Linked DNA regions of Ovis aries. The protein of the gene in region 2 binds, or shares a complex with, the protein of the main gene of each other region. Links are inferred from orthologs where the notes say so. Each region holds a gene or a part of one and is shown on either strand. Other genes may lie near its edges. The genes, in order: LSM10 and LSM11.

The links.
Region 1: LSM11 (region 2) and LSM10 share a complex: the UniProt entries of both Homo sapiens proteins name them as parts of the heptameric ring U7 snRNP complex. The link is inferred for Ovis aries from reciprocal best matches to the Homo sapiens genes LSM11 and LSM10.

What each region holds. Positions count from the first base shown.
Region 1 is NC_056054.1:11,238,502-11,255,071, forward strand, and holds LSM10 (U7 snRNA-associated Sm-like protein LSm10), read right to left. Parts: upstream 8,076-16,570; 5' UTR 7,861-8,075; intron 6,372-7,860; 5' UTR 6,357-6,371; coding exon 5,988-6,356; 3' UTR 5,634-5,987; downstream 1-5,633. UniProt on the Homo sapiens protein: Appears to function in the U7 snRNP complex that is involved in histone 3'-end processing. Increases U7 snRNA levels but not histone 3'-end pre-mRNA processing activity, when overexpressed. Required for cell cycle progression from G1 to S phases.
Region 2 is NC_056058.1:66,928,356-66,944,125, reverse strand, and holds the end of LSM11 (U7 snRNA-associated Sm-like protein LSm11), read right to left. Parts: intron 12,411-15,770; coding exon 12,271-12,410; intron 10,319-12,270; coding exon 10,235-10,318; intron 9,771-10,234; coding exon 9,360-9,770; 3' UTR 4,579-9,359; downstream 1-4,578. UniProt on the Homo sapiens protein: Component of the U7 snRNP complex that is involved in the histone 3'-end pre-mRNA processing. Increases U7 snRNA levels but not histone 3'-end pre-mRNA processing activity, when overexpressed. Required for cell cycle progression from G1 to S phases.

The DNA.
Region 1 (16,570 bases), on a different chromosome or scaffold from region 2:
TCAGGCTGATGACTCACTAGGGCCCTCTGAGAGCCTGGCTTCCCTCCACTGGCATGCAGAAGCAGCTAGAAGGGCGCCGTGGTGGCAGTACCCGCGATCACGGACCCACTCCTTTGTCTCCGAGGTGTGAGCCAGGATGCTAGCTGCATATGATTCCTGATTCTCTTTCCAGCTGTGTTATTCTGTATCCATTTGGGCACACGTGTCCAAGCCTGTGTGCACAGCTCTGGATTTTCCTAGGGTGTGTGGCCAAGCACTTACGTGTATGCACGCATTTGTCATCTCCACACAGGCAGTGACTGCCAGGACATGAGAGTTGATGTGAGTGAGGCTGGCTGCCTCCTCCTGTGTCCTTGTCTTTGTCTCTAAATGCCTAGTGTACACTGAGCTGAAAGGGCTGAGTAACAGTAGTAATCGAAACAGCAGTAGTATGTCAGACACTGTGTTAAGCACCGTAGAGACATCAATGTTAAGGAGTCTGTTCGCAGATGAAGCAGCTAGAACTCTGAGAGGGAAAGTAACCAACGACACATTATTGGCTCTGCCAATAATGGCAGAGCTGTGATTTGAACCAAGTCTGGCAGATTCCAAAAAGGTTGAATTTGAGTCCTTGCTGTGTCTCTTACAAGTTCAGTGACTGTGCAAGTTCCCTAATCATCCCCATCTGTCAACATAAGAATAATACTTTGTGGGTTCACTGTGAGGATCCAATGAGTGTGGAAACAGCTTCTCATGGGACCTGATGAACTAAGAGTGCCCACACTCCTCTCAGCAAGCTTCAGTGCAGTGGAGGACTGAAAGCAGGCACAAAAACGCTGGGCCCGGCCCCCCAAGCTCCTATCTCTGACAAAGGGAAAAGCCTAGAGATTCCGGAAGCTCTGACAGGAATGAGTGTTGGGTTTTCCAGAGCTCTAATTATCAGCTAGATGAATCACTTGGAGCTGACACCACCATCCCCAGCCCCAGGAGGCTCTCAGCTGATTCAAAATATAGGATTTTGACAAAGAGGAGGAGGAGGAGGAAGAGAAAGAGGGGAGGAGGAGAGGTAATGAATAGAAAGGAAAGGTGCCAGCCAGAGGAAATGAAAAGCTGTCATCAGGACACGAACATGAGGAGACGGCTGCATCACACGCACGCACGCACTGTGACACATGCTCCTGCTGGCTCTCCAGCTCTGGGCATCTTGGCAGACGACACTGCCGTGACAAAGTGACACCTGTCACAACAGCATGAAACGGTTGCTTGACGATGTACAGGCAGATCTGCCTATTACAGAAGGAGAGGAGGAAACCTTCAACCCTAGGGAGCTTCCTCAGGCTTCTGAAACCCCGCAAACCTTTCCTACTGGCTGACTTCTGGGTTCTCTGTGGCCAAGCCCCTAGAACCAAGGTATGCCGGTTCGAGTGCTAGGCCCATACCTGGTGGCTGGGTACCATCACTGTTAGCAGCGTGCTTGGTTACTCCATTGTGTCCGACTTTGCAACTGTTTGAACTATACCCTGTCAGGTTCCTCCATCCATGGACTTTTCCAGGCACAAGGGATCTTCCTGACCCAGGGATCAAACCTGAACCTCCTGAGTATCCTGCACTGCAGGCTGACTCTTTTACCCACTGAATCATCAAGGCATTGCTTATCTTACCCGGTTACCAGTATCAGGAATGCTGAGAGGCAGAACAGTGCAGTGTAGTAGCAAAGATCATGGAGTTTTAGGCATACAGACCTGAGTTCAAATCCCCACTCTGTTGTTCACTGGCTCTGTGACCCTGAGCAAGTCAGGTAACCTCTCTGGGTTTGTTTGCTTATCTCTAAAACGGGGCTACTAATACATACCTCTAGGGTTGTTGTAATGATGAAATGAGATGATTCTTTCATTTCACAAAGATTTATGGAGTGCCAGCTGTGTGCAGAGCAGAGTTGGATGCTGGAGATCCAGTGGGACCAAACGGACCACAGCTCTGCCCTCCTGGAGCACGCGGAGCCCCTGGCACAGGGCCTGGTGCACAGTGAAATTCAATAAGCAGTAGCTGTTTGTGGTGACCACCTTGGCATTCTGCCATTATCTTAATTATGGGACACAGGGAGACCCCTCCACCTTCTCCTTAAAGAAAGAGGATCTCCGCTTCCCCAACTGAAAAAGGACAGAGTTGGACTGGATCAGGGGTTCCCAATATTGTCACCTTAAAAGCCTTTTTTAGTATTTTCCATCCACATGAGCCTCATATCTGGTAAGATTTTGTACAACCTGCCATCAAGTCATTTCTTCCTTTTTATTCATTACAGCTTCATATTACAGCTATGAGAGCTTGTGATCAGGAAGAGGAAGCCAGTGGCCCATCATGCTGTTGGTATAATTCCAGCCTGAAGTAGAGATCAAGTCAGCTTGGTTAGTGTTCATATACAACGCGCTGTTCCTCTGGTCCTTCTGGAACACTGATAAGAGCTCAAGGGACTCCTGCTGCCCTCAGGGACCATTCAGCTAGGCATTCCAGACTGGAACTCACTGAACTGGATGTTCTTCTGTGGGTCCCATCCAGCTGAGAGCTGGAGATGCCGCACCATCCTAGGAACTGAATGTCAAGCCACAGCCCACCCAGTTCTCCTCAGATCCCTGGTAGTCCCCTTCCCCAGGTGAGTGAGCCTCCTGTCCTCTTCTCTCCATGGCCTGGATATGCCCTCTCACTCAGAATTCCTGAGTGCTCAGTCATGTGCAGGCTTGAACAAAGGCTGCAGCGATGACCACAAAACCCAAACCTCGATGGGACAATGACATTTTGAAATACATTTTTCCTCTCTTCCGTGGTGTCCCTTGGCTCTTCCCTTATGCAGTCAGGTTACTATGCATTCATTACGCCAGGAAACAAATGACACGCCAGAATGTGGAGTTCAGTTTTAGCTTCTGAATTCTAAGAGCCTTGCTCGCCTTCAGGGAGGGATGGAAAGAATATCTGTGCAGATCTAAATTTAGAAAACTGTAAGAAGGGGGATCTGGGAGACTGAGACTTGAGGGGGTGGTCCCTGAGAATAGAGCAGCTCAGCCTCTGAGCTAGAGGGCATCTGCTGGGTCTCAGGGCCCGGGAAGCAGGAAGACATGTGCTCCTTTTCCTGGTGGAGTGCCAAGAAGTAACAGAACCCTCTGCGCTGCACTGTGGCAAATGGGGCCCAACTCACCCAAGACCCTAGGAACTTGCTGGGCCTGACTGGCCTGGAAAAGTAAGAGTGAGAGTCTGAACACCAAGAGGGGGATGGGTTACGATCAGATGGGAGGTGAGGAAGAAGCACCTAGGCAGCATCCTGAGTGGGCTGAAGACAGAAGACCAGGACAAAACCAGGACATCTCGGGGGATGCCAGTGGGACTGCCCTTCCCATGCTTTGGCATCTTGAAAGGAAGTGCCCTGGAATTCAACCGATTCCAAAGAAAGTGATGGGGAACCCTGAATTGACTGCAGTTAAGTTTCTGCCACTCTGGCTGAGTAAAGCAAAATATGAATTCAGCTGAGTTAGAGAAAATTCAAGTTATGTTTCTTACACACTTGAGATTGGAACCAGCTATACTCCTGACCCACAAGGCCCTGTATCATTTGCCTCACCTCTTTCCCATTTCTCCTGTCTCACCTGTCTCCTTCTCCTCCACCAAGTCATAGTGGTATCTGGTTGTTGCCCCCAACCCTCAAGCTTTCCCACCTCAGGACCTTTGCACTGGCGATTTCCTCTGCCTTCCCTTGGCTTTTTAAATGGTAGGTGCCTTCTCAGTTTAAATTTAACTTCTTCAGACTACACTTTTGGAAATAAAACCTATTTTCTCTCCATGTGCCCTGTTTATTTCCTTCCTGTTTACTTCCTTCCCATCTGTTTACTTTTCTTTGTTCGTCTCCCCTCCAGAACATCAGCTCCCTGAGAGCAGGACCCCCTGTCTCTCTTGTTGTTCCCTCAGTAGCTGGCACTGTGACTCAAATTACTTGTGGAATGAATGACCCGTGGCTTGCCACAGCTTGGTGGGCACTGAGCTCCCCCCCATCCCTACCTGGGCCCTGGTCAATTTCCCAGCAGTCCAGGACCAGATGCCAAGACCCATAACTTTGGGGCTTGAACACATAGCTGTGCTCTACCCCAGGGACTTGGCATTAGTGTATCTCAGAAGGTCTTGGTACCCTGCCTCACACCCGTCTTTGGAAGCACAGAGGCCCACTGGGATCTGTGCAGAAAGCTTACAGAACTTACAGAATGGGTCCAGAGCCGCCCTTCTCAGCTATCCATGCTAGGCTTTCCCTTGCTCTTTGGAGGATGTGGAAGTCGCCCCTCCTCCCTTCAGACGCCCCCACCCCAGCCCCGCACACCATTTGAAAGCAGAGCCAGGCCTACCTCTCCTCCACCTTTAGGCTGAACTCCCAGCCCGGGCCCTCTTCAAGTATGGCAGCGTCTGTAGACACGTGGGAAATGTCTGTGACAGTGGCAGTGTGGGGAGACTCCCCGCCAGCTCATCACACCAGAGGCGGTCTCCCCCCTGGCTGTGAGAACACAGACATTTCCACAGTGACGCCTCCCTTCCACACCTGCCCTCTGGCTTCTTACCCGCACTCTTCTCGTGTTGCTCTCCTTAACTCTAGCTATCAGAGAGGCCTGGCAACTCAGAGCAGTGGTTTTCTCCCTGCTCAGATCCACTGTTCTCCCCTGTGGCCTCTGAGGCCTCTGGGCAATAGAAGAAATACAACAGGTAAAGGACTCATGGTGGATGGGTGGGTGGGTGTTAATAAAGCAAATTTTCAGGCTCCAGATTCTGTTTTCAATCCGGGGATCCAGGAAGGTGGTTCTTCTAGACATTCCAGCTGGTTCTGCTGAGATGGTCCAAGGACAACACTTAAACAGACTGGATTAGAACGTAAACGCAGGGACTGTGGGCTGCCTGCGCCCAAACGAACACCGCTCTGCAGTCTCCCTCGGGAAATGTCTGCCTCCAGCCCTAGATTCTAAGTCCCTCTCCAGAAGCGACCAGAGCTTATTGGACAATGTGTGCTCAGCAGGAGGCCTGCCACGCGGCAGCTGCTCTGTGGATGTTTGTTTGATGAAGACAAACTCTGGTTCCATGGGACAGTCACTTTCACTGAGATGGTAGTTGGCCTGTGGCAAGGCTGCCAAAGCTGGGGGAGGCAGTTACAACAAAGGCTGGGGTTCTCATCCCGAGACCCCCTTCTTCCCCGAGGGCCTAATATCAGAATCAGAGCCTGATTTCCTGCTGCTGGATGAGCTTCTACACTTGACGGTAGGGTCCGGGATTACTCCAGGCTCTCCCCCAGGAAAGAGCACTGAGATGAACAAGCTCTCCAACGGGAAATATGAACAGAAGAGTCACTCCCTGACCAGACTGAAGGCCTCTCTTACATCCTCAATCTTTGCTGCATATTTAGTATCACCTGGGAAACTTAAAAAAAAAAAAAAAAAAAAATTCCACTGCTTAAGCCACAACTCACACCAATTAAAGCCAAATAGGTGAGAGTGGGCCAGGGGACTCCAACGTGCAGCCACGCTTGCAACCCAGCACCGTGACACAAGACCAACAGGGAGCCTGGTGCATGGCAGGAAGCATGAGGCACAGACTCGTCTGCATCCTCTTGTTTCACGAGAAAACAAACACAATTACAAGAGAAATGGGGCCCGTCAGGCCCAGCGTGTTTAATAATCCTCAATGCAAGAGGGTTGAAAACTGACACAATCCCTCAATCGGTAAATTAGAGATTTAGATAAATTATGATCCAAAGGGGGGGGGTTGTCATCTACCCCAAGGCCACAGTCAGATAACTAAAATTCCGGGTCCCAGGGTGAGTCTGAGAGGTGAGACCCTGAGAAAGGCAACTGTGACAGGTGACGTCTGTCAGACACCAGCTTCTGGGCTGGTCCTGCTCCCCTCCCAGGTTCTGGGTGGGCAGGGAGAGCAGGCTTTGGCTCAGAAGAAGTCTGCAGGAACCTGAGTGGGGACCAGGACAGGCTTACTTAAGAGTTTTTGGAGGGAAATTCCTGCCGGCCTTGCCCCTTGCTGCCAAAGTAACGCACCCGATGGATGACCTGCAGCTGCTGCTCAATGGTTGCGGTAATGTTCACGTTGTCGGGGATGTGGACGTAACGGACGTTCCGGCCTGTCACGAAGAGGTCGTCCAGCTCCACCTGATGCCCCCAACGGTCTGTGTAGGTGACCTGGGCCAGGCGGATGTTCATGAAAGCATCGACGTTGTCTATGCGTCCGTGGGCCACGCTCTCATCCCGCAGGTCCACGGTGGTGACCTGGCCCTGGAGGCCCTGCAGCAGGATGATCAGGCTGTTCTCGGAGATGGTCCGCTCCTTCACCGAGTGGCTCACCTCCATTCTTCCACGCTTGCTCTGGGAGGGGCACACACAGGGGAGCTGAAGCAGGCTAAGGAGTATGGGTGCTAACTCACTGATGTCAGCTTTTAGCACAAAGTCCCCAGCCCAGACTTCCCTAACTCTGTCCACCTCCTCAATTTTTATGCCTACAGAGTGCCCTTAGGTGCTTTCTTGGACACACCTTATAGAATCCTCACAACACCTTGCAAACCAAGGATCACTTACACTCACTTTATAAACAAGGAAAATTGGGCCAGGAGATGTTAAGTAACTGGCCCAAGGTGCTGGGATTCGAATCCATGGCTGCCCAGCTCCAATTCCGACACCAAGGGTTCTGAACCCTCATTGTGAGAATCACGCAGTGAGTTTCTGGTCGCCACACCCAGAGGTTCTGATTCATTTGGTCAGGGGTGGGGCCCAGGTACCCTATTCTGTAAAAGCTCCCCAGGTAATTCTAATGTGCATCTAAACGCAGAGACAATGCATAGACAAGGAGTTTGAGAACCACTCCTCTAAAGTGTAGTTTACACCCTTGCTGCTCAAAATATGGTCTGTGGACCAGCAGTTTCAGCATCACCCAGGTACTTGTTTTGGAATGCAGAATCTCCAGGCTTTCCCCAGATCTACCGAAAGAAGCTGCATTTTAACATGACCCCTAGATGAATCGCTTCACCAGTTTTCAGACATTAGTGTGCATCAGAATCACCTGCAGGAGGGGTTAAATGACCCGCCCCCACCCCACCACCACCACCCCGGCCTTTCTAACTCAGTCCGTTTGAGGTGGAGCCCAAGAATGTGCATTTCTAACATATTCTCAGCTGATGCTGATATTGCTGGTTTAGGGCCCACTGAGAATGACTGGTCCACCCGATGCTGCAGCTATGTAACCAGGAATTTAGACAACTGTAAAAAAAGGAAATGGTAGCGTATATGGCACATAGGTATTGAAGGCAGAGAAATTTGGAGGTTGGAATCCCCACTCCACCCACACTCTGTAGACCTAGGCCAGTTACTTAACGTCTCTGAACCTGTTTCCCCGTCTGTTAAACCAACAGGTGAAGTTAACAGGTTCTCACCACGCTGAGTGTATCTTCCTTTGCTTTCAACACGCTCGGATGCTATATTAATGGGGGGTGGATAATGTCTTACCCACCCCCCATTTTCAGACCTTGAGTGCCAGGTGTTTGAATTTCTTAAGACTTCACTCAGGATCCCGATAGGGCTGTGCAGGGTGGCATGAAGTGTGACAAGCTAGCTACCCACTCCACTGACAAGGTGCTAGGAGTTGGGCCGGAAGACTCTTAACCGACCCCACCCAGGTTTCACCAGGCATATCCGCTCAAACGGGGGTTTCGGGGAGCACAGTGACTGCAAAGAGGCAGGTCTGGGCCGGAGGACGGGGCTCGGTTACTTCCTTAGAGTGTCGACCTCGAGAAAGCCACTTGGCTTCTTCAAACCTGTTAGACAGTCGCTAGAGTGGGGATGGTGACGACCCTTTACTCACAGAGCGTGGGAGTGGGCTTGGGAAGAGGAGCTAAGCTCAGCAACCGGGAGGAAGACGCTGGCCCCGCTCCCGCCGCCTCCGTGGTTCCAGGCTCGCTCGCGCTCCGCCCCTGGCTCCCCAGGCCCGCCGCGCGAGTTCCTTCCGCTGTCCCGCTGCACGTCGCCGCCGAAACTAGCGGGCGCCTAGCCGGGCGGCCTCCCTCTCGCTGCCGGATTAGGACGCCAAGGCAACCGCGGGGCCGCTCGGTCCTTCCGGAGCGTCGAGAGCGCGGCAGAGCGCAGAGCTGGCGTCCCCCGCGGCGGGCCCGGAACTACAATCCCCAGAATGCCTCGCGGGCTCGAGACGCCCTCCTGCTGCCCGACCGACGTCGCTGGATTCTCTTCTTTGGAGTCATTCTTTCATTCAGCAAATGAAACAATAGCTTCCCTGGCGGCTCAGTCGGTAAAGAGTCCATCCTGCAATGGAGGAGACCTGGGTTCGAACCCTGGGTTGGGAAGATCCCCTTCTGGCAACTCACTCCAGTATTCTTGCCTGGAGAATCCCACGGACAGAGGAGAGTGGCAGGCTACAGCCCGTGGGGTAGCAGAGTCGGACACGACTGAGCGACTTTGATTTTCACCTCTTTACCATCTGGGCCACGCCCCTTCAAGGTTTGAGTGACCTTCATTAATGTGTGACAGCACCTGGCACACTGGAGCAGCCCCATGACTTAGGCCTAGGTCGTTCCTTTACCCTCTCGTTTACAGGTTTCAACCTCTCTCAGAAACCATCCCTTTTTCATCCTTCACCACAGCTGGCCTCTTCTTATTCTAAAAATAGAAAATGTCTTTCTCCTCCCTGGCAGCTACGCTGTTTTCCTACCTTCCACAGCTGAACTTCTCAGGAGAGGCCTCTATATCAGTGATTCTGCAATTGGGAGTTCTTTTTCCAATCCCATTTCTACGTGAGACTGGATTTTCTTCTTCTTGTGGTGGTGGTGGTGGTGGTGTAGTTGCTAAGTCGTGTCGGACTCTTGCAACCTGTAGCCCGCCAGGCTCCTCTGTCCATACTGCTTCTCAGGCAAGAATACTGGAGTGCAGTGCCATTTCCTTATCCATTTCTTCCCCTACTTCAGCCAAACCAACATAGCACAGTGGGCTGAACGCAGAAGCAGACATGAGAATCTGTCTTCTAGTAGGACAGACATTGAACAGATTTGCAAAAATATAAAGCAGTGTCACTCTTCTCACCAAATTAAAAAAATATATAGTTATTTTAAAATAAAAATATGATAATGGGTCTGTTATTGTTATTTAAAAGGGAATTAATATTAAAATCTTATCTCAATTTCATATATATGTGATTACTATATATATATATCCCACATAAACAAATACTTTAGCTTTCAGTAATTTTTAAAGAGTACAAAAGGGTTTTGAGACTGAAAATTTGAGAACAGCTGCTCTATCCTGAGGGCTTTCACCTACTCACTCAACTCACTGTAATCTGGCTTCTTCTCAAGAGTGTTTTTAGTTTTACTCACATTAACTTCTCTTGAAAAGTTACTAATGATCTCCATGTACATAAGGGAACCTCTTATCTCCTTTCATTAAAAAAATATTATTTGTTTGACTGTGCCAGGTCTTAGTTGTGGCATATGGGATCTAGTTCCTGACCAGGGATGGAACCCAGGGCCCCTGTATTGGGAGCACGGAGTCTTAGCCACTGGACCACCAGGGAAGTTCCAGGGAACCAGTTGCCTTAATGTTATCTGGAATGCTTGTTAAACCCAACCCCACACCTACAGAATCAGGAGTAGAGCCTGGGAATCTGCACATCTAACAGTGCACACCAACGGTGAGACCCGATGCCCTCCTAAAGTCGGACTCAGCGACTCCCAGGCAAGCCCTGCATTCTTGTCTCTGCCTTTGCTATCGTGCTCATCTGCCTGGGTTTCTCTCTTGCTTGGCTATGGATGTTAAGTCCAATCCCTCCTTCAAAGGCTGGCTGTACCTTTCTGAAGTCTGATAATGCCAACTGGGAGTGAGGCTGATAGCATACTGCTTGATATGTGTTTGCTTGGTGCATGCAGATTCGCCATAGCTATTTATGTAAATCTCACCTCTCCTACTCATCTCTTGGGTGTTGAGACAGGGAGAAGGCCCTAGGAGGCTGAGATGTTTCACCCTACAAACAGCAGTTTCAGGAGGAACAATGGTTTTATGAATGTGCTGTGATGATGGGAGCTGAATGAACTGGTGGCAGTGGGATGGAAAGAAGGGATGAGTGTTAAAGACCATGAAGAGAGTGAATGAGAATCCTTGGGGACTGATTAAATCTGGAGTATAGTTTGCAGGAGGGGAAATCAATGATTTAAATTTTAACGCTGATGGCCCATTGACAGGAATAAGAGTGGTAGGGTTGGGAGGGGGTTCACGCCTGTAGAGGGTATCTCATTTTTGGGCTACACAGCCCACTGAACTCCTTTCCCCACCTTTGGGGAGATCTGCCATTGTGTGAATTTCAGTGAGAGGTGAGTTTCTGTTCCCACTCTAGATGGTTTAAAGGGCAGATAACGTCTCTGATCCTTGTCAGCTATGGCACAGGCTGGTGACCTAAGCTCAGGCATTATCGGATTCCAAATCTGGAGCAAGGGACACAGACCAGCAGGAACTGTTGAGGCTTCATCTTGGTGTCTGCGTCATCCAGCGCCTCATCCCTGCGGGTGCTGCTGCTGCTGCTGGCGTGCTCTCCGTGCCGCCTCCCCGTCCCTGGTTCTTGGCCATTTCGCATGGTCCTTCACTCTTCCTGACAACTGTCAGTTGCCTGAAGCCCTTTCAGTAAATTCCTTCTCCACCTCAGTGGAGAATTAGTTCCTTTTTTTTTTTTTTTTTGCAGTTTCAAACCCAGACTAAGGCCCACTTGAATTGAGTTCATTTCAGGATCCTTGAGAACTTCCTTGGTGGCTCAGACAGTAAAGCATCTGCCTACAATGTGGGAGATCCGGGTTCAATCCCTGGGTCAGGAAGATCTCCTGGAGAAGGAAATGGCAACCCACTCTAGTATTCTTGCCTGGAAAATCCCATGGATGAAGGAACCTGGTAGGCTACAGTCAATGGGGTCCCAAAGAGTTGGACACGACTGAGCGACTTCACTTTCACAGGAGCCTTGAATTTCCCTGTTCCCTGCACATGATTTCGTTGTGGTTCTGTATCCAACAGTCAGAAGATACAGAGTCCTGAGAGTTCGGGTGATTCCCAGGCCACCTGCTCCAAATTCCCACCCAGGATCCAAATCCCCTCTCCAGCCTCCCTCACTCCCGTGTCCCCCTAGTCACTGCTTGATATTCCAGTGACCAGCAACTCACTCCTGTGCTGGGCGTTCTACTCCATTGTTAGGAAGTTTTGGGTAACTTCTATTCATTGCTTCTGGTGCTTTTCCATGGAGAACTGTCTTATTTTGTATGAAATTTAAGAAGATTCTTCATGCCTTTTGACAGTAAAGTGAATGTCCTGAATAAATAAAAATGGTATCAATATTAGACATGAAGCGTGAGGTGATGGAATGTCTCAGGAAAAGTGAACCTGCAGCCCAGAGAGAGGAATATGGAAATTTGTGAGTTAATAGTATGGGGTCAAAGTAATGGCCTCTCTGAAAAAAGGAATGCAAAATAGTTTGCCGAAGAATGCAGACTAAGCACTGCAGGGCACATAAAATATATGGTCAGCAGGCATGGAGGTGGGGAGAGCAAAGGCTAGGGCCAGGGCGAGAAATGGAGACAGGAGCTGACAGCTGAAGTGAGAGTGTGATGACAGGGTGGGTGGGGGAACCCCAGGGGTGAAACAAGGATCCTCCAGCAATTGCCCCAGCCATTCTGACAGACTGAGAAATGGCTACATCAACATCTGTATCAGAGGGCGAGCTTCAATCAGAAGCCACCGAGGGGGGCTTTCCCTGGCGGTCCAGTGGCCAATAAGACTCCGTGCTTCCAGTGCAGGGGGCCCAGGTTCAGTCCCTGGTCAGGGAACTAGATCCCACATGCTGAAGCCAAAATATCCTGCATGTCACAACTAAAGCTGAAGATCCTTTGTGCCATAACTAAGACCCAACATAGCCAAGGGAAAAAAACAAAACAAAATACTGAGGAAGAGAGGGGAAGTGTGGTCAGAAATTAGTAGGATCTGAGCACAAAGACCTAGTAAGAAAAAGAAAAGGGCCTTGAACTGGGCCCAGGAGAATGGGGAGCAGAGACGGCAGCAGAATCCAGCAGAGCTGGGGCTGGAGACTGGAAAGGGACTGTGTTGTGACTGAAGCTATGGGAGTGGGAGAAAGCAAGGTGAAGCAACGGGAAGGCTGGAGAGCTGGTGGGGGGAGGAGGTCCTGGAAGAGCTGAGGCCATGCTGCGTGGGATCCAGGGGCTCTTTGGTGGCCTTTTGAATTTTGATGAAGTTCTGAGGTGCAGAAAGAGGGCTGGGTAGGGGTAAGGAAGGTAAATGATGTGCTGAGGTAGAGGGGAGAGGTGAGGGAGGGCATCCCACACAGGTTATTATCTTCTCAGTTGTAACTGAAGCTGGGAGGCCTTCTGGATATCCAGAAAAACCTGAGCTGAGAGCATCCTTCCTTGTCCTTCCCCTTAAATACACGAAAAAAGGAGAAGGCGAGGGTGGGATGGTTTGAGAGAATAGCATTGAAACATGTATATTACCATATGTGAAACAGATCGCCGGTCCAGGTTCGATGCATGAGACAGGGCACTCAGGGCTGGTGCACTGGGATGACCCTGAGGGATGGGATGGGGAGGGAGGTGGGAGGGGGGTTCAGGATGGGGGACACACGTATACCCATGGCTGATTCATGTCAATGTATGACAAAAGCCACTACAATATTGTAAAGTAATTAGCCTCCAATTAAAAAAAAAGAAAAAGAAATGAAAGGAAGTTGGGGAATTTTACAAAGAGGAGGGTGGAGGGATCTGAAGCCAATGTGCACGTGTAGGATTTAGGAGTCTTGGGTCTGCCCCCAGGTCTATAAAGCTTCGTTTATACTTATTTTATCCTTTATGTGTTTTAAAATTTTACATTTTAAGTAATCCAAAATAAAGAGAAAACAATTTATGAAGTTTATAGACAGTGACTTTTGAAGAATTTTTTAAGAGATGTGAATTTAAACAACTTCCTTTATTGTAATTTCAGCTGTCTCTGTGACTTTCAAAAGGTCACTTTTAAACTTTTCCTCTTATTTTTCTCCCAGAGTATGGGACTAGTGTTAATGACACATCCTGGCAGGTCCTTTACCTTCATAATGAGAAAGAAAAAGGCCACACCTCGCTAGGCCTAATGTGACGGGTTTCCTGTGGTTTTGGAACTAGCAGAGAAGATACTGTTATTTTTATCAGCAGAGGACCCACTGGCCAGAAACAAAAAGGATGTAGCGTGTGTGGATGTGGGGGGTGGGGGAGGTGTCAAGGTGACCAGAGAATCCAGAATGATTTCCACTGGCTCTTGGAATGCATTTTGACATTCTCATTTGAAAAGAGGTGGGCTATGATATGAAAATTTACTTTGCATTGAATCCTGAAGCTGGGTAGGGAAGATTCAACTGAGAAGAGGGGTCTCCAGCCCAGTCCCTTGAAAACAGTTCTTTCCACTCCCTCTGCTGCCAGCTGACCAGGAATTTGGCAGTGGAAGAGGAATTTTCCAGGTTTGACTTAAGGGAAGGAGCGTGTGCATGTGCTAAGATGCCTCAGTCGTGTCTGACTCTGCGACACTATGGACTGTAGCCCGCCAGGCTCCTCTGTCCATGCGGTTCTCCAGGCAAGAATACTGCAGTGGGTTGCCATTTCCTCCTCCAGGGGATCTTCCCGACCCAGGGATCGAACCTGTGTCTCTTATGTCTCCTGCACTGATATGTGTGTTCTTCACCACTTGCGCCACCTAAAGGGAGGAAGGGGTGGGTAAACGGTGTATTGACTTGGATTTTAATTTGGGTCTTTATAATTAGGTATTAGTACATGAACCAAGAACTTCCAGATGTTCAAGCTGGATTTAGAAAAGGCAGAGGAACCAGAGATCAAATTCCAAACATCTGTTGGACCATAGAAAAAGCAAGAGAATTCCAGAAAAACATCTACTTCTGCTTCATTGACCATGCTAATTAAGTGGATCACAACAAACTGTGGAAAAGTCTTTATTAAGAGATGGGAATAGCAGACCACCCTATCTGCCTCTGAGAAACCTGTATGCAGGTCAAGAAGCAACAGTTAGAACTGGACATGGAACAAAAGACTGGTTCAAAATTGGGAAAGGAGTGCGTCAAGGCTATATATTGTCACCCTGCTTATTTAACTTATATGCAGAGTACATCATGAGAAATGTCAGGCTAGATGAAGCACAAGCTGGAATCAAGATTGCCAGGAGAAATATCAATAACCTCAGATACACAGATGACACCAAAAAGGTGTCAAAAAGCAAACAGGAACTAAAGAGCCTCTTGATGAATATGAAAAAGGAGAGTGAAAAAGTTGGCTTAAAACTCAACATTCAAAAAACTAAGATCATGGCATCTGGTCCCATCACTTCATGGCAAATAGATGGGGATACAATGCAAACAACGACAGACCTTATTTTCTTGGGCTTCCAAATCACTGCAGATGGTGACTGCAGTCATGATGCTCCTTGGAAGAAAAGTTATGACAAACCTAGATAGCATATTAAAAAGCAGAGACATTACTTTGCTGACAAAGGTCTGTATAGTCAAAGCCATGGTTTTTCCAGTAGTCACGTGTGGACATGAGAGTTGGACCATAAAGAAGGCTGAGCACCGAAGAATTGAGGCTTTTGAGCAGAGGTGTTGGAGAAGACTCTTGAAAGTCCCTTGGACTGCAAGGAGATCAAACTAGTCCATCCTAAAGGAAATCAGTCCTAAATATTCAGAAGAATTGATGCTGAAGCTGAATCTCTAATACTCTGGCCACATGATGCCAAGAGCCGACTCATTGGAAAAGACCCTGATGCTGGGAAAGATTGAAGGCAGGCGAGAAGGGGACGACAGAGGATGAGATGGTTGGATGGCATCACTGACTCAATGGACATGAGTTTGAGCAAGCTCTGGGAGATGGTGAAGGACAGGGAAGCCTGGTGTGCTGCAGTCCATGGGGTCGCAAAGAGTCGGACATGACTGAGCGACTGAACAACAGCAATTAGGTATTATGGGGGAAGAAAAGTATATATATATACACTTCCGCCCTGTAATTTGCATTTGTCTTTCTACAGGTTCCTGTGACTTGAATTTGTCTCCATGGATGTAAACCAGAGTGACAAACCTGTTGGAAGAGGATGAGGGGATCTGATCCTGTTTAGACTCAGGGATCTCCAGGATCTGATTGTGATGCTAAAATTTGTTTCTTGCCTACCAGGATCTGGATGTAAGGAAAAAAGTGAGTTAATCTTTTAAAGGATGACATGACTTTCATCCTTGAACTGAGGGCTACATACATTTCCTCCCTTTCTTCCTGCCCCTTCACTCTCAATTTTTAAAATAATTTTTGTTTAGTTGTTTTTGGCTGTGCTGGGTCTTCTTTGCTGCTCGTGGGCTTACTCCAGCTGTGGCTCAGGCTTCTCATTGCAGTGGCCTCTCCTGGTGCGGAGTGGCAGCTCTAAAGCACACAGATGTCAGCAGCTGCGTCGTGAGGGCTCAGCAGCTGTAGTACGTGGGCTTGGTTGCTCGGTAGCGTCTGGGATCTTCCCGGACCAGGGACCAAACTGGTGTCTCCTGCATTGCAAGGTAGACTCTGAACCCCTGGACTGCCAGGAAAGCCCCACTTTCAATATTTTATTATTTTCTCTTTTTTTTACTCTCAATATTTAAAAAATATTTATTTGGGGATTTCCTGGTAGTCCAGTGGCTAAGACTGTGAGCTCCCAATGCAGGGGACCTGGGTTTGAGCCCTGGTCAGGGAACTAGATCCCACATGCTGCAAGTGAGACCTGCTTCAGCCAAAATAAATACATAGATAACTGAAACATGTGGCTGCACCCGGTCTCAGTTGTGGCACACACTCTTCGACCTTTGTTGTGGCATGTGAGATCTTTAGTTGCAGCGTGTGGGATCTAGTTCCCTGACCATGGATTGAACCGGGGGCCCCTGCATTGGGAGGGCAGAGTCTTAGCCACTGGACCACCATGGCAGTCCCTTCACTCTCAATTTTTATTACATCTTTCTTCTGGAAGCCATTGAAGTACTTTTGTTCAGGAGGCTTTTCTAGAGCTTTGCCTTGCACAATTTTCATGATCAATACTATGATAAGAACAAGAGTAGGACAGTTTTAAGACTGAGTTGAGAAGAGGTAAGTCACAGATTTGCTGAAAGAGAACAGAAATAGCCCCCCAAAGCATGGAGATGGGGGGAGGCATGGGTAAAATTCCAGTTGTCAGATCCCACCTGAGGCAGCGTCTAGGAATCTGTAAACTCACCAACTTAGCTGGGGCAAGATGGCTTTGAGTCAGTGAACTAGTTCTTTCTGTTTCTTACAGATGAAGGGAGGAACTGAGGCTTGTTGAGGGAACCGCCCAAGACACCATGGCAAAATCGGGTCAGGGATGGGGATCCTGGTGCCCCTTCCCTTGGAGTGAACTGGGCACTGCTGTATAACAGCCTCAGAACCCAGGTGAAAGGGTTAGTCACTCAGTCATGTCTGACTCTTTACAACCCTGTGGACTGTAGCCCACCTGGT
Region 2 (15,770 bases):
CCCAAGTGGGAAGACCCAAATGGCACTGAAGTAACAGGAGGGTCGCAGCAAGAATCCACAAAGTAATGAAGACACAAGAAAGAAAAAGCTATTCACTTTCCAACCCTTCTATGTCCCTGATAACTTCATGTTTCCACGTGGCGAAAATTTTATGCTCTGCTTTATGGTATATTTGAATCCAGATCTCTATATGAGATAATTTTCCTGGTGGGGCTCATTTCTGGACCCTGGGGCAGGGACTTGGGACTTCACACTCAAAGAACTCACATACAGACTGGGATTCTCTCCCAGTGAGGCTATGCTCCCTCTCACAGGTCCAGGGAGGACTGGAAGTCCATCATTCAACCCAAAGTTTACAAATGTACACATTTACAACTCTGATATTTCTTTACTTTTTAAAGGCATTGGGAACCTCAAATAACGGAAGTGACCAGGCTCCCTCTCAACCCTGAAGAGGCCCATGTGCGTTGCTATGTGTCTTTTTATGTGCATTTGTCCTCCGGTGCACATTTTCATAACTGGATTGGATGTAACATGCTCAATTAATTAAGGAATACATTTTTATTACCAGCACCACTACTGGTTACATCTTGATCTCCATAAGGAACTGGCTGACTGGGGAGATGAGCGTGCACTGGCTCATGGCTGGAGGGGAAGAAAGATGTTGTGCAGTCAACATATCTGCTTTGCACGTTTGTGCTTTGTTTATCATAAAACGGGTGATAATGATAAGGATGTGTAAGAAGCACGGTGTTAATGACAGTGCCAGTGGGGAGTGTGAACAAAAGCCATGACTTTGAGCAAGAGCTGGATATAAATTAAACCCCAGATTGTTTCAGACTATAGGTTTTATAGTTATACATTTATGGCTATTAGAAAGACTATTAGAAAGACCTTTGGTGCTGAAATTCCTGCAAGAATAATTTCATCACTTCAAGTGTGAAACTCCCTAGTCACTGATCCCAACTTTTCCCATGGAAGCAATTGCTTTAGAATATTGTTTTTGCTGACTTGGCCATTTTATTACAGAACAGTATGTTTATTATGTAAGACATGCAATTTATATCCATGCGTTTATTAACACATGGGAGGATATTGATCACTTGTGGCTCAGGAGGTCTGCCTATAATCTGAAGACAAACAGTTTAATTTCAATTACTGCCTATTTATTTTTATGTGTACTTTCAATTTAAGGCAAATTTCCCTAATTTGCATTGATGGTAGTAACACATGACTTCCTTTTAAGTGTTAGCTAAAAGAGTGAGGCAATGTGTAGAAAAACATCAAATAAATAAAAATACACTGGTCTGCTTGGGATAACGGAAAAATCATGGAGATGCTTGGCAAATGATCCAAGTCTTGGAAACCATGGGCTCTGTAATAATAAGGAAGATGTACATTTTGGGTTGGGATTCTGATAGCGATGATGGCCATACAGTCATCCTGGAGACCAGTGCCACAGTGTAAAGCTGCCGCCTGGGGCCCCAGGAGCATGCTTTTCCACGTGACACTAATTGGCCCACACAGGAGTGAAACCATGACCCTTCCCTCATTAACCACATGCTCAGACCAGCTGAGCTAGCTCCCTCTGGGTCACTGGGGTCGCATGTAGGAAATTACCATTCCAGTGCCCTGTGGTCCTCTTGTAACCCCAACTAATGAATGTCCCGTGGAGCCTAATGTCATTCCTGGGGGAGCACAACACTCTCCCATCGGTGAAGAAGATGATGATATGCTCAAGTTTTAATCTAGGGAGAAACAACTGAGAAGGTGTCAGGAAGTCTGGGAACAATCTTTCAAGGTCTGTCTGTGTGCTAGGAAAAAAGGATGACAGCATTGTGCTGCGTCCACTTGTTTGCCTGGTCTCAGGACGCGAAACACAAGCACAGGGAAGTGAAGAAAGCAGCTAAGCATCACACAACAAGCTCATCATAGCGTAAATGACATTAAAACTTGCTGTCTGGGCTGAGCACTTTGTCACCAACCCTATTAGGTGGTATTATCCCTATTTTAGAGATGAGGAAACTGAGGTTTAGAAACCACTGGTAAGCATCTAAGATAAGGGCTCCTTCTAGGATTATCATATTCTGGAAACTAACACATCATCAAGTTGAAGGGAAATTTTACAAGACAGCTTGCCAATCTTTCTAGGAAGACCACAGGCCTTCAACTAATCCTTTTCTCCTGCTTTAGCACATCCAGAGTTTAGCATAGAGAAAAGTTTTATTGTTTTGTTTTGTTTTAATAAGATGAATAAGTCAAGACCTGCAGAAAGCATTCTTACCAGGTTTTGCAGAACACTGGAAAGAAAGGGCTGGCAGGCTTTCCACACGTGTTCTGAAGACTTGGGAAAGATCACTAGCTGTCCCACCTGCTTTTTAACAAGACTATTAGGTTGATACCCCTTCCAGGGCCAAACCAACTGGTGGGTGAAATGAAATACCAGATGGTCCTCACTTGGCAGCCACTCTTACCACAGCTGGACCACTGCCCTGGGGGTGCCCACCGCCACAGTCCTTTCTGGGAGCCACGAAGCCCTGTGTACATGTCCACTTTCAGTCAAAGAACTGGGCAAAAGGAACTAGACATGTGAAAAACCAAAAGCTCTGGTTTAACTCAGCTCTCTGGTTTCTGATTAATCTAAGGGGATTAACTCCACTTGTCCTCAAAGCTCCCTATTCAATGCCTGAGAAATTTGATATGTTTCAGGTACAACTGGCCAGCAACAAACTTAAGAGTCAGAGAGACAGACCCCAAATTTGCCATTTATTACCAGGGGAGATGTTGGTAGCTTATTTAATGTGTTCCAGTTCCCTCATACACATATTGGAGATAAAATCTCCCCCTTGCTGTGGTTTTATCTGAACAAGGTAATGCAGGCAATAGGTTTGGCACTTGTAGATTCCTCTTCACCATACGCTGCTGGGAAATTATTCCTTGACGGACAGAGAAGGTCTTTTGAAGGCCTTGATGTGAAGTGCTGGGAGACTTACCAGCACTTCCTACCTTATTGCTCCTGCTCCCAGAGCACAGCCTAAAACACCACACTTTTCTGTGTCTATTAGAAATTTTCCTCGCTTGCAGTTTTGGACTGGAGGTTTTATTCTGGTTGTGGAATCACAAGAGGAATGCAACCGCTCTCATAACGGAGCATCAGGCATTAACACTGGGAGAAAGTGAATTTCCAAAAGCGAGACAGCAGCTGAGAAATAGAGGAATCAAGTCAGTTTTCCTGAAGTAATCTCCTGCCAGCAGGCGGGAAGGGGACAGGTGGAGTTGACAGCATTCTGAGAAGAAATGAGGAACTCCACCATGTGAGAATATCAACAGACTCCCTAAAATAGTGGACACTGCCCTTTCTCTCTCCCTTAGGCACTTTCACTGGCTGACGGCTGCCGTCAGGCTGCCTTAGCTTCACATTATGGAAATTCAGCAGTGGTAAGAGATGGTTATATTGCCAGTTGGGTTGACTACAGTTTGCTTTTCCTTGATTATTTAGGTTCAGACTGGTGAGTGTTTAACAATAAATGGTAGCAGTAACTGGAGATCTGGAGCCTCAGGTCCTTCTGGGATTCGACACTTAAGCAGTTCTCTTTAAGCTACTGCCATCTAGTGGTAACTGAGCAGACTGACATACCCTTCACGTCTATCCAAGGAGAAAATGGGGCTGGACAAGCACTTGTTTTCTCTTTGCCACTCCTATCCAGAAAGCAAAAGGAGAGCAACAGATGATAAATTTCATTCTGCTGGCCTCCACTCCCTGCCAATATTTAACCATCATTGTACATTTTGTATGTCAAGCTAGCAGACTCTTCTGACTTTAGTTTGATTAATGAGAACATTTTTATTTAATCACAAGTCTTTGAGATGTAAAACAAACAAGCAAGAGCAGAAACAAGCAGAACTGGAACATGTGGGTCTTGCCTCTCTTTTTTCCACTGTGATGCCTACAAACTTCTTGTATGCCAACTGTGCCAAACTTAATGTATCCTTTGAAAGTAGGGAATTGGGTCTTTAACTTGAGGTTCCCCCCTCTAAAAATCAATGTCATTTTTGTTTGTCTACCTTATTTGGATGACTCAGGGCTAGAAGCACACAGAGGATGTCAAGTAATCAATGTGGCAAATCTCTGGGCAGATCAACTTCCTGTATGTGCACAGAGGAGCTGGTGGCAAATTCAGATATTCCTGGAAGTGTGTCAATCAGCAAGATGTGGTAAAATCCTCCAAGGGGAGCTGAGTCAATGGTGATCTCAGCAGGTCGTGAAGAGAGTGGATTAACACCAGTGAGCTATTAGGTAGGATAAATTCACAGGGCAATGACCATTGCTTGGGGCTTAGAGGAGAGAATTCACAAACATGGGCCAAGTTCCTTTTCTAAGTGTAAACTTCAAATAAACCTGAATAATGATCTAGATACATGTGCTTTGCTAAAGAAAAGGCACAAGGTTACAACAACGAGACTGCAGAAGGCCTGTGATGTGTTAACTTTCTAGATGGGTGTCTTCATGGGTAACAGACTCCCCTGCCACCTCCTCTCCACCCATCCCTCCTCAATTAGCAGAGACAAAGCAGCCAGTTTATTAAGACAATTGTATTTATTACAGTTTCCAGACTCCCGTATGACAAATACTGAAAGCAGAACATTGCAAACTGATGTTACTAGCAGCAACCCTCCATACACAGGAAGGGTTTAGGTGAATTTAACAATGAGGAGTAATTTCAAGACAAGATTAAAAATCATGGTTTTTCTTGTAGCAGCTGGTTTATGAAGAGTGAAACTATTAATACACAGAGTCATCCAGGTTTAGCCTTGTCTAAAAAACAAGGTAATAAGTCACGGTGCAGAGGGGTTTCCCCAGGGCTGCCAAATAGGAGGCTAATGCCTTTAGATGTCAGGATGGAATAAGCAAATCACTTTTCAAGACATCGCTTACTATCTGCTTTACTGTTGGGACAACAAAAAAAGAACTGGACAGCTGCCCTAGAGCTTAGCTCACACATAATTCAGCCAGTCATTGTTTCAGTAACACCCCTAAATTTTTTAAAAATACATTTTTACCCCACAGCTCTAAAAACATAACATCAGACATTTGCTCCAAAGGATTAAAAATCAAAAGCAATTGCAATGCACTGGGAATAGCTTTTATAGCTTTCCTGTGGGACAGTTCCTATCTCTTCAGAGAATGTTTTTAAAGAAGCACTGGCTCTGGTAGCTTATCAAACTACTTTTTATTCTAAATAAATAAAAGACCAACTGAAGGTCTCAGGTGTACTTCTTTTTTTTCCAGCTAGATCTCCCAACCATCCAAAGCCATGTCTTGACAGACAGCTTTCATTTTTATTAGAGGAGTGCAAGAGAAATTACAAACATTTGAAACATACTCAAAACACCACGAGTACAGGAGGCCCAACTCCTCCTCAAAGCCCAGGAAATGATGGAGGAACCCCAAAGGCTTATCTTAAATCCATCAACTCAATTTGCCAGGAAGTAATGACAGACCACCCACCTTTGCAACACAGGCCTAGATGAGATTTTCTTTCTTCACAAACACTAAGAGCCTTCTGGGAGTTGCTACCCAGAAACACACAAGCTGACGAACAGAAGCTACTGAAAAGGAGTTGACTGCATTCTATATGGCACAGGAAAAGAAAAATCCAAACAACTACAAACCATTCTGTTTATACCATGACACTCTTAGATGAATCTTGGTCTTCCCACAGCAATCACTTCATTCATAAAAATACATAAAGGATTAGAAAGCTTTGGGACAGCACCAGTGACAGCTAGCTGTCTTTGAACAATTTAAATTTGTTCCTAAAGGCAAAAATAAGAGAAAATTTTAAAAAGTAATTTACAGAACAGATTCTATTTCATGATTTTGCCCATGTCTGCTGCTATGAAAACAGTACAAATAGAAATACAAATATCCACTCTGCATCAAGTTAGGTTCTTTCTCAAGGGGTACAGGCAGTACACCTAGGTTTGTGTAAGGCTTCTGAGGCTGGGGCTGATAATCCCTAAAGGTACTCCTGGACCTTTTCACATGAAGACAGGTAAAGCCCTTCTTCATTCACTAACGACACTGGCAAGGATTCCTATGCACCTTGACTTTAATGCTAACAGTTTCTAGGCTTTCTGACTTGACACGCAACATGCAGAGAGAGGAAGAAACCAACTGGTCCAGGGCCGCCTGCCACAGACAACTCTAGCTAAGCATCTCACAAACAGCCCACCTCTATCATAACTGGTCTCTGAAAGAAAGCAGAAATACTTCCTAATTACCAGCACAAACAACCTAAAGTGCAGCCTCTCCTAGTGGTGAAGCAGTAGAACAACCTCTGTGTACAAATATTGGCCCATGAGATCGTCCTGGGGGTGAAGCCACACCTTCCATCTCTCAGTCCCTTGCTACTTTCTAACAAACCTGTATACCCCTGAGAAGACCTCAGCAAGTTCATAAGTCTGCCCTGAAAACACGCTCCCTTGTCTAGAGATTACTCTGAAGAACTTCAGTTCAATGTTAAAAAAAATAAGAACTAGAGTCTCGATCTCAAATCCCTGGAGAATACTAGAAGCCAGTTGTGGTGTATATCGGCTGTTTAGGGCCCCCTTGGCGAGCTGATGGGGGGCCTCCAGAAATCTGCTGTTCTGGCTGTTACTTCCCCTTTTTCTTTCCTTGCCTTCTCTTCAGGAAGACTTCAGTTATTTCCATAGCAATTTGTTAAAATGTCTTAGATGATCACATTTTTGAGCAGCATGTACATTTTTAGAATATATTTTTCCTTCGTTTTGAAAAATTTATCCAATAATAAACGGCAATAATTTTAAAAATTTACTTCTATAAAATAATGATTATCATGCTTTGTACAAAACATCACATTTACTAGACAGTAATCATCCCAGAATCACTGTCCAAACCAATAAATGGGGAATATGGGCACGTAAGATAGATCACACACAGTTTTAAAATAATTTTTAGAGCCAGAATTGTTAAGTTGGGCAAAAAAGCAATAAATCAATCATTATATGGACACATGAAAATCATATGCAAACAAGGAAATGAGCATGTGTTTAAAATAAGTCAGGTTAGATTTAATCAGGTACTACAATGAATAGAAATTGATTATATTCATTTGATTCCAAATTTCTCCTTTATTGTGAAAATCTAGTAACTATTACAGCTTCCAGATGAGGGACAAGACAGACAGACAGATGGGGACAGCCAAACAGGGGAGATCGGTAAAGGGGTAAAGGTGGGGTGCCTGATGATTAACAAGACGACCGATTTCAGAACATACTATTTAAAAAGACTCAGGCTGGCAGTGTCCAAAGATAACTGTTCGCTTGCATGTGTAACCTAGAACCTCTCTAAATGTTTAGTGCATCTCATCTGGTTCTAAAGAGTATATTTGAAACCCATTTTGAAACAAAATCAAATAAAACAACTTCCACAGATTCCCTTTCAGGGATGTGCTGTTTTTAGATTCACATCCTTCCTTCAGTGCTGGCATATAAACCCCCCAAAAAGTGCAGAGGAATTCCCTCTCATCACGACCAGAAAAGGGTGGGGGCTGGGATATGGGAGAGCAGCAAAAAAAACTGTTACTTTTCTTTCACTAAAGATATTCTTCTGAGAACTTCCATTGTCTCTTAGGAGAAAGGAATGGAACATGGAAAGTAGTTCCTGAAGGTATCACTGCCTTCTGATGACAAGAAGATCATAACTGTTAACACTTACAGAGATTACGTTCTTATGTTATATAGCACCTACTTTGCTCATGAGACAGTGAACTTCTAGCAAGCTATGAAACAGAGTGAGTAAAAATTACTCATGGCACTTACGTATGTTAAAAGACTTTAAAATGCCTTCCCCAGATTCTGTTCCTCAGTGCCCCTGTGAGGTAGGTGTCTGATGGGGAAAACCTGAGGCACAGAGGGGTTAGTCTGCTCTTCTCTCACTCCATGAAGAGCCAGAGGCCCAGCCAGCCAAAGGACCAGGAGTCCCGGCCCAGCTCTCTGAGCGTGACTCACCTGCTTCTCAGAAGGCTCATTTAAGTTACACAACAAATACGGCAGAGGAAGTTTTTCTTTTCAAACATTTTAACTAGTGAGCTACTTCTCATTCTCACTTTGAATGTAAGCTATCTAAAATAAAACCTAACATAAACTAACAAAACAAAAGGTCAATATTGCCTAACAGTCTATGTCGAGATATAGCCTATTTTGCACTGGTGATTGAAAAAGCATATGATTCAAGTAGAAATAGTAGCAGGTGGTCTGGTGTTTGGTTACTCAAGCTGGGCTGAGTAACATGTCCCTTATAGACACCACTGTTGTACTTTGTGAGAACCTCTTTGGCCTGACACAAGGGAATAAAACTCCACCCGGGTTTCATGGAAAACTACCCTGAAAGACACTCGAGACAGGGCCAGCCCTGCCCGGAAAGGGTACTCTCAGCCACATGATGTGTGTGTATTCTTGAGTTCATGCAGAACTCTTCGCAGCCAGTCATGAAGGTGACAGCCTCCTGCTATAAAGCTCACAGGACAGGTCACACTATACACAGGGGGCAATACGCAGGCACATGCACTAGCACCATGCCACAAAAGTGAAAGAAGAGAAGGACAAGAGCATCTTACAGTCCCACCTGGTACACCATCTGCAGGAACTCCCTCTGGCAAGAGGAAAGCCAACAACAAGGTCCCCTATTTCTTCCCATAACATGGAGAGGGATGAAGACACAGCATTTATTGGAGCATGCTACCCACCCAGGTTTCACTCTTACATAAATGTGTAGCCTTCTTCTATCTTACAGATATTAAGAGATAGCAAAGTACATTCCTCGATCAAGAGAGAGTGGTGTAGAGTGAAACTTGAAGGTCAGTTACAAGGTGCGGATGAAGGGCTCGAGGCAATTTATACTGCTACTCTTAGATACAAGTTCATGAGTACTCAGGGCACTAGCTTCTAGAAATGAGATCATTCTTCCTGAGGAGGCTTTCTCCTTCACCACGCTATAGTGTCTGTGGAGTCAATTCAATTCATACCATGCTCCCCAATTCAAGATCTTATATTTGGTTTGAGTGTATGCAGTAGACTGTGATACCAAATCAGATGCATGGACCATGCTCTGTACAGTTTTTGCTGTGATATTAATGCAAACACCCACCACCCTCTCAAGTCGTTTTCCCTTCAGGACCTCATCTCCCAGAGGGCCCGAGCCTGGCTCTATGCTCTGCACATGCTGGACCAGAGGGATCACTCCAACTCAGAGTTACACTGGGATACTAGGATAAGCATAGCAGCAATTCATGCATTGTATTTCTAAAACCAAAGCTCAAGTGAGGTTGAGCCGGTCACTGTGCAAGATGAACCAGCAGGACGTTCTCACCTCGAATGAAAATCTGATTTATATGTCGAGTGAAAACCTGCTGGTAATCCACTTTGGGCTTTCTCTTTTTCTTACGGGATGGGCCCCTGGAAAGGGTGGTAGCCCTGGAAAAGGTACCCCCTGCACTGGACACTTCTGTCCGTGTAGTCCTCCCTGACAGCTCTGACCTGGACTCCTCCCTTGCAGACGCCTGCAAGGAAGAAGGGACGGAGCGGGAACGCCTGCGTGAACTCCGATCGGTGTCTCCTCTTCCCCACACTGAAGCCACCTTCCATGTGGATGTCTGGGAGTATCTGGAGAGAGTGGAGTCTTCAACTGCAGACTTAGAATCTGTTTCCTTCTTGGAGGAATCTTGCAGTTTTAATCGATCAAAGAGCTGCAAGGAAAGCAATGACAAGTATTAGCCTTCTCTTCAGTTTTCAACATCTCTTTTTTTCGATATACCAAGGAAAGACTAGATTCCTTAATCATGCTCTGTAGACTGTTTGCTTTGCAATTTAAAAAACGTTAGCAACAAATTTTCTATTTCTAGCCATAACTCAGATAAATCAGTAAGTATGTCAAGAGAAAAGGTACCCATTTTTTCTATGGTATAAAACTGAAAGACATTCAGACCTGATGAGGTAACTTGTTGCTCAAACAATATGCAAGTAAGAAATACAGACTCATTTTTTACTCACTGGATGCATGAGAAGAGACTAATGAAGATCTTGGTCCAAGCATGCCTGGTTGACAGCAATAAGGCTTTACTGCTGGGAAATCCTGGTCCCTAGGCTCAGTGATCTTAATTCCTAAGCTTGAAAGCACACTGGGTACTCAAAGTCAGGGGAAACTGCTTACCCTGGTGAGAGTCAATGAAGAATCCCGTTCATATGCTTTGCCTAGAACAGGTTTTCGGTAGGTCTCATCCACATCAGTAAGTGCCTAGAGAAAAAGAGACCAAAGGAAGGAAAAATATGGTATCATTCAAAATATTATTTTTATAGCTTTCAGGACAAAATTTAAATGGCAGAATACCATCTAATTATACCAGACTAAACTTAACAGGTGACTCAGCTCTTGGGCAGGAACAAATGGTAATACACGGTCCCCTATGAATAGGAACACCAAGCTGTTACGACCATATACGATGGGGTTCTCCTATGGTAAGGGGCCACTGCAAGTGTAGGGTAGAGGTTCTTAAATTTCAGGGGGGCATGAATAATCAAGGAAGCTTATTAACACATTACTGACCAGAGATGCATTAACACCACAGGCATTAGTTTCTGCAAAAAATCCTCTTGTCAGTAATGCGGCAAAATATAAATCTAAGGCTATTCTGATTCTGTACGTCTGGGACGAAGCCCAGGAACTTTCTGTTTTAACCAGAAACCCCATCATTCGGATGCAGGACAGCCTCAGACCACACCTTAAGAACACTACTGCTGATTTTCCCTTTTCAGTCTCTCTGCTTTATGACAGCAATGAAGAGACTAGCCAGGGCAATACACAGAAATACCGATGAATTCTTGTTGATGAGAGATCAACCTTACAGGACAGCTATTAGGCTCAAATGAGCTCATGTATGAGAAATTACTTTGAAAAGTGTGAATCATCTTACAAACATAAGCTGACAGTATTGTTATTGCCACCACTGCTAAACATATTCTCTTAAATCTCTCCCTTCAAAGGTAAACTTACAATAATAATAAAACATTTTCCCCCTACATTTTAGAAATGAGAAAACTGAGGCTCAGAGAAATTACTTTGCCTAGAGTTACACAGCTACCAAACGTTAAGCCAGGATTTGAATCCAAGTTTTATGACTCCATACGGTTTAAAACATGGTTTCATAAGCCAGAAAAGATAAAGTTACAGTCCCTTTCACTTACTAAGAGTGTGATTTGGGACCAACCTTCCAAAACCACTAGCCTCAGTTACTTCATTTGTGAAATAAAACAGTGATAGACTTACAACTCATTTACTGAGGTAGTATATATAAAGTCCTTTGTACAGGATCTGGCATATAGCAAGTGTTTGATAAGTATTAGCAACTACTACTATAATCAAGGGGCATGCACAGATGAAGACACAGCACAAAGAGAAGAAAAACTGGCGATGGAAGATCGTATGGAAAGAAACACTAGAAAGCCCTTGTGGCTCCTACTGTAACTGTCTCATATCGTAGCTGTGCTGTGTCCTTTTTCTCTTCCAAATGTCTGTCTAGTAAATAGACAGTTAAGCCTCTAGAAGACTGAGGGCGCATGGTACACTCCTTCATGAGCAAACACCATGCAAAGTGTCTGGTTTATTAACATGGCTGCTTCCCCTCTATCTTCATCTCTCTTTCCAAAAGTTGCAGTTTAAGTTCCTTCCTGAATTCTGTACCTAGCAATGTGCCCAGCCAAAGTAGGAAGTCAATAAATATGTTTAAATGAATGAAAAATAACCAGTAAGAAATCAATATAAAATTACTAAAAGAAGACATAAGCAATTATTCCTTAAGGCTAGATTTCTCAACCCTGGCACTAGCAACATTCTGGACCAGATAATTCTCTGTTGTTGGCAGGGTATTCTGTGGATTGCAGCGTGCACAGCAGCAGCCCTGGCCTCTACCCACTAGATGCCAGTGGTACTCTGTCCTACAGTCGTGACAATCAAAAAATGACATTGCCAAATGTCCCTGGGAAGGAGGCATAGGTAAAATCATCCCAGGTGAAAGCCACTGCCTTTGGGAAAACAATAAAAAGAACTTTTCTCTTGTTGTCCAAGAGAATTCAAAGATTCTAGGGCTTCCTGGAAGTTATTCTGGAGGTTTTGCAGAATAAAGTCCTTGAGATATATAAAAGATTTAATCCTTAGAAGGTGCTCCAGTTCCTTGCGGAAGGCTTAATTACCATATTCCAGAACTTGTCAAATGCAACGAGGAAGCCTGTACAGACGCCCCGAAGTCCCTTGAAAGTGCGGATGTGAACATTCACCTTCACCCCCTCCCGGATACAGCGATGGAGTTCACCCAGAGGGCTGCCTTCGTGCACTGGAACAAGAAGAACCATCAGCACAGAATGAATACCTGCTCTCATTCCCAGAAGTAACAACCAAGACCACCCCACCATCTCCAGCAACGCAAGGCTACATGGTATGGCACTGGCAACCACACCACAGGAGCAGGAAGGCCCAGTGGGCAGCATGCCAAGTGCAGGCAATGCACACTGAAATGAGACAAGACTCCCCAGAACATGGGTAAACCCCCTGCGTGGCCACCATCCAAAGATTTCACTACCTCCATATGCTATTTCTATGATGCCTCTGATTCTAAGAGGCAGCATCACTTAAAAACTTTTGGGGGCAAAAAACCACGATACTAAATGTGCACATCAGCAGCCAGGTTCTTCTCAGTTCTCTGCCTTGTATAACAATCTTTTTCAGGATAAACCTTACGAACTGCATATCCAGCTTGAGCCTTCCAAAGAACCAAGAACTTGGGTCACAGGTTTAAAGGAAATGAACCGTGTGACTCATCTGCCCTGAAACACATGTAATCGTCTAAGAGAGAATGGCTTTTTAGCCCTCTCGGTCTAAGCTACATCATGCAGAAGCCGTGCTCTTAGGCCACTAGTGTTTCAGTGAACATTATCTTCACATGAGGAAGAAGAGGCCTGGTTGTATTTCAGGCCTCACTGATGTAAAGGCACCTGCTGAGTATCTGACTGCTATGAAATTGCTGATAAGCATCATATGAAAAGAGAAGTATGACAATTCATGTGAAGAATGCTGGGACTAAAAACTGCAGCCTTTATTATGATGGATTTTTTTTTTCAGAGCTTGAAAGCAAGGCTGAGTTTTATTTTTATTATTTCATGTTAATTTAGCCATCACAGTACGGTGACTGTACTACATAAAACCTCCCTAAAGAAAACTGCACATGCATGCACACACACACACACACACACACACACACTCACATTTACACAATCTCACTCTTCCCCTGAAGTCTGAATGGCACAGTTCTTTGTAAGTTATTGTCATTGATAGTAGACAAACAACAATAACTCTGTCTTATTTTTAGTATAAGCATAAAAGAGAACAAGTGTCTTGCACTTCAATTCGGATACCTAAGGTGGTTACTCTTAACCTCCTTACCCCACTCATGGACTGGCTTATACATGATGGCAGGGGTAAGTTAATAAAAGAAGATAAGCGACGTTGTAGATGAGAAATAGGAGCTTGTCAGATTGAAGATTCAGCAAGAAGGCAGAGTGTCAGAAACAGTGGCCTTGGAAAGGAACATGAGACCCTTGGCCTGACCTTCACCATCCATCCCTCCTCTAGCCATATTAAACTTCTCTGTACCTCTGACACACTAAGGTATGTGTACACACACATACCTGGATATGTGTTACAGATGGCGTCAAATCAAGCACTGTAAACAACATTTAGGTCATTATAACTAGTTGTGTGAACTTGGGGAGCAACTTTTTCTCCACAAGTCCAAGTTTCCCCATTCATAAGGTGAGGTTAGACTAGGTAACTTCTAGTTTCATGTAATGAATAAGTTCCAATAATTAAATTTCTTAGAAACTGGTCACAATGCCTAGATTCCTCTACTTGCCTTCCACATTCACTCCTCTTTTCCACCATACACACGTTCCACAAAGGCTGGAAAGGCCACTCTTTTTCTAACTTAGAAGAAAACAGGGGCATTACTCCCCTCACATCCCCAAATCAGGGAGAAAGGACAAGCATGTACCTTAACAAAAATCTCTTATTCTAATTAAGCAAATGGTAAACTCAGGTTTTCAACCTTCATATCTGTACCTTTATTTTGATTTTTTTTTCTTCCAAAGATTTAACAAGGTATAATTCCAGGGAATATTTCTCTCATGTGATCAAAAATACAACACTGGCACCATCTAGCAGAGCAAAATCCCAAGAGAAAAAAAAGTTCCACATTCAGAATCACAAGGCACATTCTGAATCTCTTCTCAGCAGTATTTGTGACAAACTCCAAATGGATATGAGCCAGGCTTCTAAAACTGTATCTATGCCTTATCTTTGAAGAAGTTATTCTTCCAAATCCCCCTCTCCACTGCCATTACCCTTGGGCCACAGCCTTCCAAATCCAGGTCATTTTTAACTCCACTCTTTTATTTTTCCCTTCTTATAGCCAATACTAAGTCCAGAAAAGAGATTCTCAATAACTAAGACCTGACCTTTCTTTTCTGTTTCCACAACCAACAATACAGTCTAGAGCCTCATCATACTATTGGTTCACTTCAAGAGTCTCCAAGCTTCCCTCCTTCACATCAACAACGGCAGCAGCATCACTGTCACCAATATTATCACCAATTACTGAGCCCTCAGTATGGGCCAGGCCCTATGGTAAGTTTAACTTTACACGTTATTTTATTTTTTTTGCCACACAGCATGTGGGATCTTAGTTCCCTGATCAGGGTTTGAACCTGCATCCCTGGCATTGGAAGTGCAGCATCTTAACCACTAGATCACCGGGGAACTCCTTGATTTGTATCTTGATTGTGGTGATGAATTCACAACCTTTTTACTCACCTGAGGGGTTAATTTTGCTATATGTAATATAGCATATATTACACGCTTATTTAGCATATATTACATGCTCAACAGCCTTATTTTTAAATAATTACTGTTATCGTCAAGCATGCCCTTCCTTAACCTCAAGACCTAAAGCTGATTTCTATATGAATTCTTTTTTGGAAAAAACCTAATATTCATCCCTGCTTCTATACTTTTTTTTGCTTCCTGAAGGTCATCAATTTTTTGTGATATCTACTCATCTCTACCATGTACACCCAACTGTTTCCAGTGGTAGGATTAAAATTTTCAGTGCCTACAGCACACTTTGAGACTTTGATTCCAGGCATACATTTAATTGTGGAAAGTTGATAAAGCTGGCTTTCACCCTCTTTCATCCTAATAATATGGCGAAATGCTCCACCAGTAAAGCCAAAACCACTCACCACATAGAAATATTTCTTTTGTCTTGAAAATCTTGGCAGCAAAGCAGTACTTGGCAAAACGGAAATAAATGTTACAATCTGAGACTTGGAGGGCATTTCAAAGATCTGATAGTGGCAAAAACTATGGGCAAAATAAGCTCCCCCAAACTGCTCTTAATTTAGGCACATGCATAATGTCACTGCTGGGCAAGCAAACTGGAGTAAACCCCAGCTTAGGCAGGGATGCTTTGGCACTGTAATCACAAAGGCACCCCTAACAGCACTCAGCTTTTTAGGATGTTGCTCTCTTAACACACTTCTAGGAAAGAAACAAAATATTCCTTTACTTAGCAAAATGCTCCATTCCAAAGGCAGTGATTTAATAATGCCACAATTTAGTTATCAGGATACAGATGCTCTGA